Linked DNA regions of Tribolium castaneum. The protein of the gene in region 1 purifies or fractionates together with the protein of each later gene. This does not show direct contact. Links are inferred from orthologs where the notes say so. Each region holds a gene or a part of one and is shown on either strand. Other genes may lie near its edges.

The links.
Region 2: the proteins of protein LSM12 homolog A (region 1) and me31B purify together in Homo sapiens (affinity purification with mass spectrometry; 5 studies listed by BioGRID and IntAct, with this or other methods). This does not show direct contact. The link is inferred for Tribolium castaneum from reciprocal best matches to the Homo sapiens genes LSM12 and DDX6.
Region 3: the proteins of protein LSM12 homolog A (region 1) and ataxin-2 homolog purify together in Homo sapiens (affinity purification with mass spectrometry; 4 studies listed by BioGRID and IntAct, with this or other methods). This does not show direct contact. The link is inferred for Tribolium castaneum from reciprocal best matches to the Homo sapiens genes LSM12 and ATXN2L.

The regions. Positions count from the first base shown.
Region 1 is NC_087401.1:13,582,168-13,586,252, reverse strand, and holds protein LSM12 homolog A, read right to left. Parts: upstream 1,773-4,085; 5' UTR 1,733-1,772; coding exon 1,612-1,732; intron 1,530-1,611; coding exon 1,396-1,529; intron 1,349-1,395; coding exon 1,040-1,348; 3' UTR 852-1,039; downstream 1-851. Other genes in the region: polycomb group protein Psc, read right to left, coding at 1-18, 64-216, 263-374. UniProt on the Homo sapiens protein: Nicotinic acid adenine dinucleotide phosphate (NAADP) binding protein. Confers NAADP sensitivity to the two pore channel complex (TPCs) by acting as TPC accessory protein necessary for NAADP-evoked Ca(2+) release.
Region 2 is NC_087402.1:3,103,095-3,108,368, forward strand, and holds the start of me31B (ATP-dependent RNA helicase me31b), read left to right. Parts: upstream 1-1,707; 5' UTR 1,708-1,842; exon of another isoform or gene 1,843-1,980; intron 1,981-2,264; 5' UTR 2,265-2,386; coding exon 2,387-2,439; intron 2,440-2,493; coding exon 2,494-2,575; intron 2,576-2,806; coding exon 2,807-2,975; intron 2,976-3,760; coding exon 3,761-4,317; intron 4,318-4,366; coding exon 4,367-4,831; 3' UTR 4,832-5,274. Other genes in the region: KIF-binding protein, read right to left, coding at 1-452, 498-699.
Region 3 is NC_087401.1:7,995,515-8,001,060, forward strand, and holds the start of ataxin-2 homolog, read left to right. Parts: upstream 1-1,979; 5' UTR 1,980-2,077; coding exon 2,078-2,115; intron 2,116-5,546. UniProt on the Homo sapiens protein: Involved in the regulation of stress granule and P-body formation.

The DNA.
Region 1 (4,085 bases):
GTCGCCTTTGAACCTCATCTAAAACACACACTTAGCGCGACATAACCTCACTTCCCGACTTACTTTGAAACAGTCTTGGAACCAATTTGTAGACGATATCTTGTAAAGTTCTGTCTTGCCTGATGTTAAGCAGCGGTTTCGACTTGTGTACTTGCACATCGCACACGGGACAGTACTTATTCGCCGCCAAATACTTAACGATGCAACTTCTGCAAACTTTGGCACGAGTTAGCCTTGCTTCTAGCGTTTACCTCATACTTACAAGAGTGCAAACACTCGATAATCGTGGTGGCATCGACGAAATAACCCTTGCACAGTTTACAAATCAGGTGTTGGTTCAGATCGGTGATTTGTGGTTTTTTCGCTCGGTGCATCGTCCCAAGCTATCCCATAAACCTCCTTACATGATGGTACGGGGGGTTCGCCATAATATGCCCATATTGTTGGCGCGCTGACCTAAAAAGCCCCACGTCGCGTCCCAGCGCCAGACCAGCGTCCCGGCTTCGGCAAAACCATCGAAAACGCCACACCACCGAGCAAATGCCACCAATTTTCACAAATATTTTTGTTTACTTCTAAATTAATTATTTGACAGACGGACCTTGCTCACATTTGACAGATGGAGCGAAAATGGCGTCACCGATTTTCACCAAGAATTTTCCAATTCGGCCGGTTTTTCCACCACTTGCCCGCGGCCCTTCAAGGTTTCCACAAGTCGGGGCGTTTTTCGCGTGGAAAACTCTCGCAAAACGGGAGACACAAGCGTCGGAAAATGCCACCAAATCAAACGCATTAGCTCGCAGTGCCAACCTGAAACACTAAAATCACTAGGGAGGGGATGCAAGTCCGCCTGGCTTTTGTACAATTTTATTGTTTCCTTAAGAAAAATATTTAATACACCGATAATAAAATTGATAAACAAAACAAAATAAAGAAACGGAATCGTCTACGATTGGGGAGAAGAGCAAATGATAGTAGAAACGGAATCGTTGGAGAATACTATGCTGAAATTGAACTAAAATAATTTAAGGGGGCGGGTTTATTGTTGCGTGGTGTTTTGAACCGGCGTGGTGTTCATTGCTAGGTCCTTCATATGCTTCTCCACGACCTTCTTTATATAATTATACTCTTTGCTTTTGGTGTCTCCTCTGATATTCTCGAGCTGGTAGGGTGGACTTATGATCACTTCCTGGTTCCAGACCACGATCTCAGAGTTCCTCCACCTCACCTCTTTTATTGTTTTGGCGATTGCTATAAATAAACTCTGGCCTTCTACTGATACGTTTGCTGAAATTGCTTGTAAAATTCGGCGTTTTTTGTCAACCTGGTTCCGCACTCGCGTGTTTAGCTGCAAATCAATAGGTTCAAGCACGTTCCCAATCGTGGCAAACTCACCCTTTGCAAATTTAACGACTGGGGCACTTCGGGCAACGAAGTGACTTCTTTTTTCACCTGTAACTCACTAACCAACGAAAGGTTGACGAAATGAACGTCGTTTAGTTTCGAATCACCGCTCGTCGATGGGCATTCTGGCCGCAATTAAGGAAAAACATGACTCGGGCCGACTTAACCTAATTTAGATTGGGCAAAGTTTCAGTGTGAAAAGGATACTCAATATGAGGATTTTGACTTGGGGGTCAAACGCCATCACCTCCCCTTCGATTTCTTTGTTATAACATGTCCTGCACCACACTGTACTTCCTATTGAAAAATAATCTAAAACGGCAGCCATTTCGCTAATACGACCACTGTTTTAGTTACTTTCGTTTGCGCGATCTAGTGACATACACTGCTGGCTGTACAGGGTGCAGCATTTAAATATTAAAAAAATTATATCTTTACTTTTTTACAGAGAATTTAATAATGTTATCAGAGGTTTATTTCAACCATTTGTTTAACCGTAATAACAAAGTTTTGTTTTTTTAAATATGAATCATAGTTGGCTATGACATTTTCGAAAAGCTTATTTTTTCTGATTTGATGTGTCTTTTAAATTTTAAACATTTAAGAAAAAACAAAACATTTTGCTTTTTCTTTATAGTAGGCCATGAAAAATTTTTGGATTTTTAATAAAAACTATGAAAATTGTATTACCCAACAAGTAATTTAATGATTTTTTAAACCCTAATTAATTCAAAAACAGCATAATAAATTTTTATTAGACCAAATTTTTGCAATTAATAAAAATTATTTGTTTTTATATTTAAAATGGCCAGCTCACGTTGTCATTCTATATTTTCCAATTTTAAACAAGAAATGTCGGATGAAGAAAAAGCTTATTAAATTGTATGATTGCACATCAATAAAATTTTATTTTACAAAAAAATGTCAATCCAAACACCAAAATCAAATTCCATCTGCGGTAAAAAAATACACAACATTATCAAGTCACCTCCATTACACTTCACTAAATCGTAAAAAAGTGTCATCAAATGGAGTGACACATCGTTTGCAATTTTCTGCACATTTTTTATGTAATTAAAATCTGCGACGCTCGTATATTTGTTCAATTGAAAATAACTTTAACATAGCGTATTTTTATAATTTCACATTTTTTACTTTAATAGCCGTTCACAATATTTCTAGATTATTCACACCTTTTATGTGAAATAATTTTTCCATGGCCAACTAGTTTCAAATATTTTAAATATATTTTTTATCAAAAATAAATAAAAATATCAAACTATATTTATATTGTTTTGAGTTCAGAAAAAAATTAGCTTTTCGAAAATGTCATAGCCAACTATGATTCTCATTTAAAAAAATACAACTTTATGTTATTACAGCTAAACAAATGATTAAAAAAATTACTGATAACACTATTAAATTCTCTGTAAAAAAGTGCCTGTATAATGTCTTTGTTTCAAATGTGTATCTTTTAAAATAAGGAAGATATGATTTTTTTAAGATTTCGCTAAAATGTCAACTTTTGTTTATAAATCGAAAACAAAAGACGATAGCAAAATGCAGTTTTGACCAAAATTATTCACTCAAAAAACGGACCACAGAATGTGTCACTCGTTTTCCTCTAAACCCTGTACAGTAATATACGGGGTGCGTCCAAAAATCACAAGACCCGTTTCTTAAATTTAAATTTATTATCTGAGATACTTTGTACATGCTTATTTAATAGTTAATTAATTATAATTGTTATTGTAATTAATAAATATTTCTCACTGTTTTCTTAAGTTATATAATTTCTAAAATATTGCGTTTTATTTTACATTCATAGTTCCATAACGCTATTTTTCCGTTTTTGTTGTTTGTTACAGCTATTGAGACGAGGCCGCAGAGCCTCCCGAAGCAAGTCTAATAATATGCCTACAAGATTTCAAGTTGTTGAACACACATTTTAAGTCGGAAATTTGTGTTTTAAAATTCGAATTTTCCCCAGGCGGGAAAATTTGAATTTTAAAAACACATCTTTCGCCGCTATCACAAAAATTTGGCTTATCATAGCTCACATTTCAGTTTGTATTTTTGTATTCGGCGTTTTGGGAGCCGATCAATCGTGTATTTAAACTACAGCTAAATACTTTACGACTACGAATTTTATGCACAACCGTTTTTAGAGCATTTCTTTTTTTTGACAAGTTTTTTGATTATTATATATACAAACTAAAATTGACAGAGTTTACATATTGCTCTTGTTTTTGTGAGGGGCGGGGCATGGGTGATCTTCCCTAAACCTACTTATAAATTAAAAGCTACGTTGGCCAATAACGCAACGAAAACGCTTTCTTCGATAAAATTTCCAAACATCAACAAGTATATCAACTAAATAGGTATTTACAAATGTTTTGTTTGTTTCATTTTAGCGTAGATTTAATAATACAGGTACTTTGTTAATATACTTTCAACAAGACTCGGTTGCTTACCCGCAACGGTAAGCACAATTAACTAAATAGTGTAATTAGTTTTGGCCAAAAAATTCTCGATTTATGAACTATGACACCTAAATATCTACACTACTTAATAAATTACTATCTTACATTGCTACAATCCTTACGACTAATCCTAAAATACTTCTTTGGAAAAAAATCATTCATAATAAATTTTAGGCTCTTTTGAAACATTTTGTGTAA
Region 2 (5,274 bases), on another chromosome or scaffold:
ATAGTCACCACTATCCAACTGTCTTTGTAAAGTGTTGTGGCAGTAAACTGCACTTTTTAATGCGTCTTTCAACGCCCCGTATATTTGGGCCAAGTAGTACACTGTCAAAGTGTAAACTTTCTCAAAGTTAATCCAAGCCGTTTCAATGTCGTTTAGTTCGAAGTTTGGGTTAAACAAGTCTTTTATGTCAACTGGTGGTACGTTCGATTTCTTGTAAGTCGCGTACAACCGTTCAGCCTTTTCGAGGTAAGTTTTAGACTTTTCTGGCTCTCTTTGCGACCACAAAATCCCAAACTGGTTGTACATATTCAATGTTACCATAACCACTTGGGGCTCCTCTGTGCAATCCTTTATCAGGTCTTCACACTTTGCCAAATAGCCCTCCCCAGTCGATAATTCCTCAGTGGCAATTGAAGTCATACCAAGATACAGGTACACACTTCCCAACATTGCTAAAATTATCACCTTCAGGCAAATTTACAACAATGTGGCACCACCTGTTAGTTTTATCTTGTCATTGTCTGGCTGAGTTTCTATCACATTTTCTAGACTCGCTTTCATGCTGACTAGGGTCTCGCTGGCCGCATATTTCGACACGAAAGGCTGATTTTCAGGGTCGTATTTACTGTCCTCGAGTAACTTAAGGACCTTATTGAATTTTTCCTCTAAATCGACAAAAACCTCCTTGCTTGCAGTCATGACGTATACTGAAAATTATTGCAAAATGTAACTCTCCAAAAATGCGGCAATACAGTTATTACCGAAATCTCAATTTTTTGCTAAAATTCTGTTTATTTGTTATTAAAATGACCGACAAATTGTAGGTTAAATAGCTGTCAAATCATGGATGAAAAAGGTGGTGCCAGGGTGGTGAAACCTAAATGCACCAAGCCAAGTATAGGCGCCAAATTCAAAATCGACTGTAGTTCGGCTTGCTATCGCAGATGTCGCACACACGTATAGTCAATTTTAGCGAAGCTACCTATAATATCGGCAGAAATTAACAGTGGACCTGTGACAGTTGCCATTGTGTAAATCGCCATTTTGTGCTTGGTTTGTTTGGTGTTCGCCTTCGGCTTTGTTTTATGTGAAATTAGTACTGTTTTGTGGTTTTTTTCGTGTGTGTGCTTTTTTGAACTTTTTTATTGTGGGAATATAAATAATTTGATGGATCAATCATTAGTTTATAGTTATCGTATCGTGTATATTGACTAGTGATAATAAATTTTTATTACAAGTTTATTGTCTTTATTTATTCTCATATTTTATTTTTCGTATTCTTTGTAAATATTCAGCAACAATAGTTGTCTAACATCAGAAAGTGTTATTAGCAACTATTGTTGTGAATATTTACAAACAATACGAAAAATGCAATCAAACTTTAAAAGAAAAGTAACTACGGGCAATTCAAATCGCCCGCCGATAACGCTTAGTACGCGCTGGCAACAATAGATGTGCTAGTGACACTTTCGCTCTATCGGGACAAGGACAGATGCGTTTCTGTAAAACCTGTTATTCTGTGGGTGGTGCCAGAGAACAAGGTGGTGCTGTGGGTGGTGAGAAGAGAACAAGGTGGTGCGCGCAATTTGAACGCTTTTTTGTGAGCTTTTTACATGAGTGGTTACTTAATTTTATTATGGTTGAAGGAGACGGACCCTATCAGGGGCGCTTTGTTATCACTGCCATAAAAAAATTGTATTTTTTGGCCAAAAATTTCAAAAATTCTTTGATTTTTTCCGATTGTTTCTCGCGCCATCTCACGGGTTGTCCTTTGGTTAGCGGAGCATCCTGGCATTGCAGATTCGCGGCCATTGTTAATTGCTGAAAGTCATTTTCCTTTTGGTGAGTAAAGCGTCCATATCAGTGGTAAAAGTTATTCGAAAAGAGCGATTTGATGCAAAAATCACACATTATGAGCAATGTCTGAGTATTTCCCAGGGTGTCTCGACGGTATTCCTTAAATTCTTTGTCCAGAATCAGGTAAATTTGCGTCGTTGTGCAATAATTTATGTGTAGTCGACGGTGCACTGTACACAAGAATCAGTAGCCATTTTAATTAGAAATCTGAATCCTGTTTATTTGTTGCAATCGTCGAACTTTTGGCCGTTTTTGAGGGTTTTATTTCCGTATCGCCAGTGAATGTTCATGACCTGGCTATTATTGACACTGCAACAATTACGGGATGTTCTATTTTTGTGGTTATATCTATTCCGTATTGACCTTAAATTTTCTGCGTCATTGATGTTTAAACTGGGATTTTGCAGATTATTATCGTTCCTGTGAGGGATCTTAGGAACTGTACTTATCCTACACATTGTAGAGGAAGAAGATTTGGGTTTTATAAACCCTATTTTTTAATACACTTGCAATAGTATTTTCTACAATTATGATGACGGACACATTGAATTCGAACCATGTGATGGCTTTGTCAGGCAAAGTGTAAGTTGTTTGCTTATCATTAAGAATGTGCGGTGACGAACCGCTTCCTTGCAGTGATATTGACACCAAAATGGATGACATGGGATGGAAAGCCAAACTGAAGATTCCACCCAAGGATAGGAGAATACAGACCAGTGTAAGTTAAAACTCACTGCTTTGTACGTTCACGGTCACTTGGAAGGCTTTGGGTCACTTGCATGTCTAAACCGGGAATAATATTCAAAGCTTTCCATTATTAACATGATGACACTATGGATTCCCCTTCATTTTTCTTATAAATGATAACGTCTTGCCTGATTTCATGCATTTCTTTCACCATTCGTGCAAAAAAGGTGTTACCGTTATTTTATCAAGTATTTGTTACTAGGATGTGACTGATACCAGGGGAAATGAATTTGAAGAATTCTGCTTGAAGAGAGAATTATTAATGGGTATTTTTGAAAAAGGGTGGGAGAAACCGTCTCCTATCCAAGAAGCTTCTATTCCAATTGCGTTATCTGGCAAGGATATTCTTGCAAGGGCAAAAAATGGCACAGGTATGTTTTTTACTCAATGTTTAGTGCATATTTAGTAAGCCTGTTCTGTTACTCAATAATTGGATGGGGGGACAAATATGCAAAACTAATGGCTTGATTTTTGCTAATAGTCATATTTATTTTTGAATATGACGCAAAAAATCACATACAGTAATTTGCGCTTATGAAATACCAGCTCGAATAAGTGGGCGCTATAAATCAGTCAAGCTACTTTATTTGGTAATTTAGTTCGCAGAATTGAGCTTTTTTGTACAAAATTTTTTTAACAATCAAGTCAATAATAAAACGTTCTCTTTTTTGTAATTCTGATTGTACTTTCTTAATTTACTAATTTACTTGTGATGTCAAAAAATACGTGTTATTATTAAACTGTCCTATTCTAAAAAACACGCGATGTAAAAAATTAATTTGTGTTTTTTTTTATATTTTCTTTCACTACATAAGCGGTAGTTCGAACCGAGACACAGACAAACACCAGAAATGTTAAAATCATCGTTATTTGTTCACTGCCTATTGTAAATTGGGTGACCTTGTTTACTTGTATTCGTTATGTACTCGAAATACATTACCTCTCTAGCTCACTTGTGTTTGTTTGCTTATCTTTTTTGGATGTAATACTGTTTATTGCATTTATCATTATACATATATCATATCAGATATACCAAAAACTGGAAATTAGTTACAAATCAATATTTTTATAATAAAAAAAGACAAAGAAGAGGGCCAAACTTTTACAGACATAATCTAAAAATTGGCTGTCAATTATTGAATGCTTTGGTCTTCAGGTAAAACCGGTGCGTACAGTATTCCCGTGTTGGAACAGATCGATCCCAAGAAAGACTGCATTCAAGCACTGATCATAGTGCCTACACGAGAGCTCGCGCTTCAAACGTCACAAATTTGCATTGAGCTCGCTAAGCACTTGGACGTGCGCGTGATGGTAACGACCGGTGGAACAAATTTAAGAGATGACATAATGCGCATCTACCAGAAAGTACAAGTTATTATAGCAACGCCTGGCCGCATCCTCGATCTGATGGAAAAGGGTGTCGCCGTAATGGACCAGTGCAAGATTCTAGTTTTAGACGAAGCCGACAAGCTTCTCTCACAAGACTTCAAGGGGATGCTCGACACTGTGATAAAGAACTTACCGCAAGAGAGACAAATACTGTTGTTCTCCGCCACGTTTCCTCTCACAGTTGAGCAGTTTATGCGAAAACATCTCCGAGATCCGTACGAGATCAATCTCATGGAGGAGCTCACTCTTAAAGGTGTCACGCAATACTATGCGTTCGTTCAAGAACGTCAGAAAGTACACTGTTTAAATACTCTGTTTTCAAAGGTTGGGCTCTTGGTATTTTGGTTTATTTTTTCTGACAGTTTTTTTCTAGTTACAAATAAACCAAAGCATAATATTCTGCAATTCCACGCAACGTGTCGAATTGTTGGCGAAGAAAATCACCGAACTTGGTTATTGCTGCTACTACATTCACGCCAAGATGGCTCAAGCGCATCGCAACAGAGTATTCCATGATTTTCGAGCTGGTCTCTGCCGAAATCTAGTCTGTTCTGATCTGTTTACAAGAGGTATCGATGTGCAAGCCGTCAACGTCGTCATCAATTTCGACTTCCCGAAAATGGCAGAGACGTATCTGCACCGTATCGGTAGATCTGGAAGATTTGGGCACTTGGGCATTGCCATCAACTTGATTACTTACGATGATCGATTCGCGCTTCATCGCATTGAACAAGAGTTGGGAACGGAGATCAAGCCGATCCCGAAAGTGATCGATCCCAAGTTGTACGTGGCCAAGTTAATAGACGACGAAGATACTCCAGAAGACAACGCCAAGTAACGCGGTGTGTTACGAAATATCACTGATAACTGTAAATATTAAACAACGTACTTTCCGAAGAATTAAATTTCTGTTGAAGACTTTTTTATACTAAAAAAGGGTGATATACTGATTTATTTAAGAGATTCTGCACTACTACGTAACTTATCACAGTGATTCTACATTTGGGGCCTAAGCTTTAAATCGCATAAGTTGTTACCCGTGTGCATTTAAAGCTGCAAAATTCTACAGTCACTATTTTACAACGCCATGAAATTCGTTACTTACCATCCGAATCTCCGCGAATTTGATGGCCGCGTAAAACCGCACTGTGATACGTTCGAGTCGTCGGTGCAGATCTAGTTCTTAAACTATAAGTTGAACAGTGTGAACTTTGATAGTGAAAAACTAAAATGTGTTAAAACTGAGAAAAGACTCCTAAGTGTGCTAATAATGTGACTTGG
Region 3 (5,546 bases), about 5.6 Mb from region 1:
CTGAGGACGGGACTTTTGTGATTCCGACTTTAAATAGTTCTGATTTTATTTGCTATTATTAAATTGGTTTTAATATGAAAACACGTATTTATTGCTATTTACATTTCAAGACTGACTCTTTATCAAAAGTCGTTTAGGGGAAAATCATGACACAGCCTGGTCTGTATTTGAATGTTTTAGGGTGATACAGCGTGTTATTTTTCTTTATTTTGACACTGACAATGGAGTTATACTAAAAAATTTAAATTTTTATATGGATAGCCAACAACAAAATAGGCGACCCATATTTTTTTATTTTAACCAAAGCTCAACCGTTTTGGAGAAAAATAATTGAAAAGGTGAAAATTCCTGGCCTGTTCAGCAATGTTCCTTTTTGAATGAGCCAGTCACAGAACTAGAGATAGAAAACTTGCCAACAAAGATAGCTTAAAAGACGTATGTCTATTCTTTATCTCTGCCTCCGTTGTTTTACATACGACTTCAAATGTGCTGCAGGAGCAGTCATTTTACCAAAACACATACTCCTGCCAAATATTAGCACACAACACAGTCATAATCGACAACGCACGGTTTTGACATTTGTATTTGACGTTTACCAACCCAAACGTAGGTCGTAGCGTTAATTGTATGCCGCGAAAGACTGACGAATCATTAGTCGAGACATTGCTTACGTCAGAGCGCAAATTTTCGATTATTACTAAAAAAGTACCGATTTAAAAAACCTCAGACCAACATTACTGGACATCATTGTGTGTCTACTTTCAGAATCTGCAATTTCCAAAAACTTTTACTTTTGAGTATAACACTCCATTGTTTATTAAAAAAAAAAAATACTGTAATTACAAAAATATGATACAGCAAAAAATTTAAATGTGACATGGAGTGCAATAATTTTTTGTAACAGCTAATTTTGAGAGAAAATGCGACGTTGGCGCAGATTTTTGAATTACTTATGAAATATTTTTTTTAATTTTCAATACATTGCACCGATATCATAAATTCGTGTCAACTCCATTAATAAACATTTTGTTTAATAAAAAATGTCTAGCCAATTTTTTCAATAAAGAATGTTTCTTGGAACTACATTTATTTTCTGTTTTAAATCCATAAAAACGCCAGTGTCGCATTTTCTCTCAAAATTAGCTGTTATGAATTATAAAAAAATAATAGCTAATGTAATTTATACTTTCAATGAGAGATCTAAGCATTAATAACAATTTTAATATTTAATATAAAAAAAATAAATTGGTAAAATGCAACGTTGGCGTTTTCATAGTTTTGAAACAGCTTACACTTATAAAAAACACAAATATCAAAAAAAGATTGTATGCACCAATTCCCAGAGGGTTTAGAGCTTTAAGATTCTGATTTTTGTTAATTTATTTTGTACAAGTAAATAGGAATGCAAAACATCTGGGGCGCATTTTTATTAATTAATTATTAGTTTATTTCAAAATCAAAATATGTTAATTATTTCTGTCAGGTTGGCAATAAGTCAGTACCCTCTCGATTGCATATGCACCCACACACATCAAAACTCACCTTCTCGTGCAAAAAGCCCTTTGGTGAAATCTCCGTAAACTAGGCCACCACCAACAGGTAGTTGTCCCTTGTGGCGCAGGCCCTTATTTATTGATCCCAATTTTGCCGCCATAAACCAAACTAGAGGAAAGAAGCAATGACCGAAGTGTGTTGTGCGCATGCGCAGTTTGTCCATGTCACTCTGACAGACAACACTTTGTGCAAATGCTGTGTTATAATTGTTTGTTATCACAGGAATCGGTTTTTTAAAGCACCCATCCAAGCACCAGGTCTCGAACGAAGTGTGTCGAGGAGGACGCCACCGCCTACGGTACCGTCTGCCACGAATGTGAAGAGGTAAAATCGACAGTGGCAGTGATTACGTCACTGAGCCATTTTGTGCGCTTCTAGGTGTCTTTGGAGCTGCCTGCTTTGTTAGAGGGCCGCGAACGTACCGCGTGAATATTTTTTTTCGAGCAGTTGTACTTTCAACGACTCCAAAATTCCGGTACCGACGAGAAATAAGGACCATACCGGCCATCACGGTAACGGTGAGATGAACAACAAGAGGAAAAACAGGGGAGGGCCGCTGAGGTTAGTATAGGGGGCTGTCCACGCAGCGCAATCCATCAAAAATGGGACGTTTCCCGAAACACGTTGAAAATTGACAATTTTGACAATATTGTTTGACATTTGACAATCATGTGGTGTTTGGCGATTTTTGACAATTTTTTTGCTTATGGTGGTCTTAAAAGCCCCTAAGATGGCGAAAAATGCTTTTACTTTTTTCAAGGTTCAATGCCCTAACAACTAGTTTCACATAATTGCCGAATTAAAGACCAAAACAGAGGTATTGACCTCATTAATTTTTTACGAATCTCCAATTTGGTGTTTTATGTTTTGTTTTATGCAGGGTTGTTGCACTTGACGGAATTGTCAACTGTCATTTTGGCATTTATTGCTTTGAGGTTATGACTGTTAATATACAAGGAGGTTCCAAAAGTTGGACGTGAAAGTAATAAGACATGAATGTTTTCATTATTTGTCACTGATAGCAAGCTGGAAAAGTTAGCAAAACAAACAATTTCAAGAACAAATTTTAATCAATGGACAGTTTGATTTTTGATAATCAAGTAGTCAGATACTGAGATAATAATTTTGAGTAATTCTTCGTAAAACTAATAAATTATCAAGTTTCTTTGGGAAAAAAGAAATTTATCATAGCGTGTCTAGTCTAAGTCAGCATAGATCAAAAAACTTTTTCTAGCGTTAAAGAGATTTATTTCCGGATTTTTTAAAAATATCTAGTTAAGGATGTCGTACAAAACTTACAAAATCTTAAAAAAATTTTCGACATGCTATATTTTCATATGGATAACAACCAGCTGTAGAGTTGTTAGGTTGGTACGCCCGTGCTTACAGTTTTTTTAGTGTACCGATTGGCAGTACTAATTCGCTTTCAAAATTTGACACCTGGTACAAGCGCAGTAAAGAACTGAAATAAATTGGTTATTTTTTATTAAAACAAAATATTAGTCTTAATACCCTGATTTTGAACCATTTTCACAACTTCACAAATTTGATTTAAGTGAATAATTAGCAGACTTTAAAAACTTTCAGAGCTTCTAACCTATTTTTGTAGACACTGTCAATTCTGACAAATTTCTCACTAGAAATTACTAGAAACATTTGCGCTCATTTAGAGACCGACTTACACAGGCAAAATATAAACAATTTACACTAGGAAGTGGTTTTTATGAATGTGAACCGATAATACTTATAATTATTAAATAAATATTTAACAAGATTTTTGGACTTAACAGTAAGTTAAGACGAAATTTGATTATGTTATAGTAAAAAGATACAGGAATTTGTAATTTAAATGATCTATTTATACAGGTGTCTGATTCAAAAGCACCGGACAATCTTTCGAGTACTGATAAAGAACATCAAACTGAATTAAAAGTTCCTATGACAAAGCCTTTTTTCACGAGCTCTTTGAAGTTAAATTTTGAGTTATGTTTTTGGTGCTTCAGATCTAATTTTTTTAACTTTAGCGGAAACGACAGCTTTTGCAACATCAAACAAATACCTGTTGAAAAAAAAAAACAACAATTAATTTCTTATGATGTACAAAACTATTAAAAAACTTGCTAATTCGACAATAAATTAAATTCGATATCATAGGAAACAAAAGAGCAAAAATCGATACCGTTGCTAAGGAAAACAAATTAAAAATTGTTTGAAAAAAAATCTTACTTTATTTTTGTGCTTAATTGAACGTCTTTCAACACTATATGAGAGTTTGTCACTTTTGAATCATCCTGTATATGGGACATTTTTTTAAATAGAACACTAGCAACATTTTTTATTTTGTTACAGTTTTTATATTTATATTTTTTGTTGATGCGTAATTTTTAAAATTAATGACGAAAAGTACGGACACATGGTTATTTATCATTTAATTGTACAAAAGATATGTTTTTAGTAATTATAATTTGTGAAAACTAATACTGGCGTTCTCTGGGGGGTAATTTTGAAATTATTCTTCTGTGATATAGCGGGAAATTTAAACATCATCCGTAGTTGACAGTTCACACTTCAGTTCAATCAAATTGAATTTTTGTCAAAACTTAATAAGTTAATAAGACTTAATGAGGCAAACAGAAAAACAAATTTTGTTTTACTTGTTTTTATCAAACCTCTTGGCAACATTGAAAAGCAAATTCAAATATACGTTAATTTAAGCAACATTTAACAAAACTTTAACAATTTTAACAAAGCCAACTATCTGACTGCACTAAATTAAACCGAAATTATCATTTGTTTGAAGCGTTTTATCACTGCATATCTTTTTTATTTATTTATTTATTTATTTTCACAACACTCGTGAAGGCTTTTTCATGTCGTTTTTTTATTGCATTCATTCATTATGGTGATACTTCTTACGTGATAATCGTCCGTCTGACCCCGTGTTGCAAACAGGTTTTCGACTATTTACAATTGAAGTAAATAGAGATAAAGCGACCTAATCAATGTGCTACAATTACAATAAATCTTGGCTTTTTTCTAACAATTCGAATGGTCACACGCATCACACTTTTTCCGTTCTAAGTTGCCAATAGACTACAGTGGAGACGGGTTATAACGAACTTCCGGTAACGGTAACGAAGTAGATTTGACTTAAAATGTGGTGCAATTTTTCGTTTATAACGAACTTTGATGAATATTTTGGTGTTGATAATAACAAAGCAGCAAAAATTTGACAAAACACGTAATATTAACTAGGATTGCGTCTTTTGAGTACATTTTGTCTAAAGTTTACATGATTAATAGTTAATAGGAAATGAAATTCGGTGGTATCTTTGCTAAAAAATAATAATGCAATTTTTTTTACTGTTTTAAAGATAAGGTGTCCGTTATTCGAGCTCCACCATGGGGACCTCAGGTATTATAAGAGATACAAGTTTGGTTAAATCAGGACTAAGTTGCGCATTTTTATGCTGAACAATTATCTCAAAGAAAATTTGATGAGTTATTTTTAGTTTTTGAATTATTGGGAAAAATCAAAATTTTGAAATTTTTGTTTTTATTTTTTTAAGCTAAAATTAAAAGAACTATACGTTTTTAAGCACGACATTCTTCAGGCACGTTTTACAAAACATCTAAACTTGTCATTGTCTTGTCCAAGGCGCTCTTGATGTCAGAGTTACAACAGTCAACTTTGGTTTTTCTTATTTGACATTTGTATTTTTGAAAAGTATTTCTTCCTGATTGCAGTGATGTACCACATGATATGATCAAATCTTACAAGTTAATTAAAATTAAGAAAAAAGCGTTTTTTGCAAAGAGTGCTTTAAAAAAAAAGTCAAAAATGTTGTTTAACAAACTAAATTTTGACAGATCTAATAAATATGCGAGCATAATTTTTATGATTTTGTCTTGTTTTGTTTTAAATAAATAAATTTCTAGCTTATCATGTCGTTTAAATAAGTAAGCTTAGAGGAAATGTGAAATTGTGAATC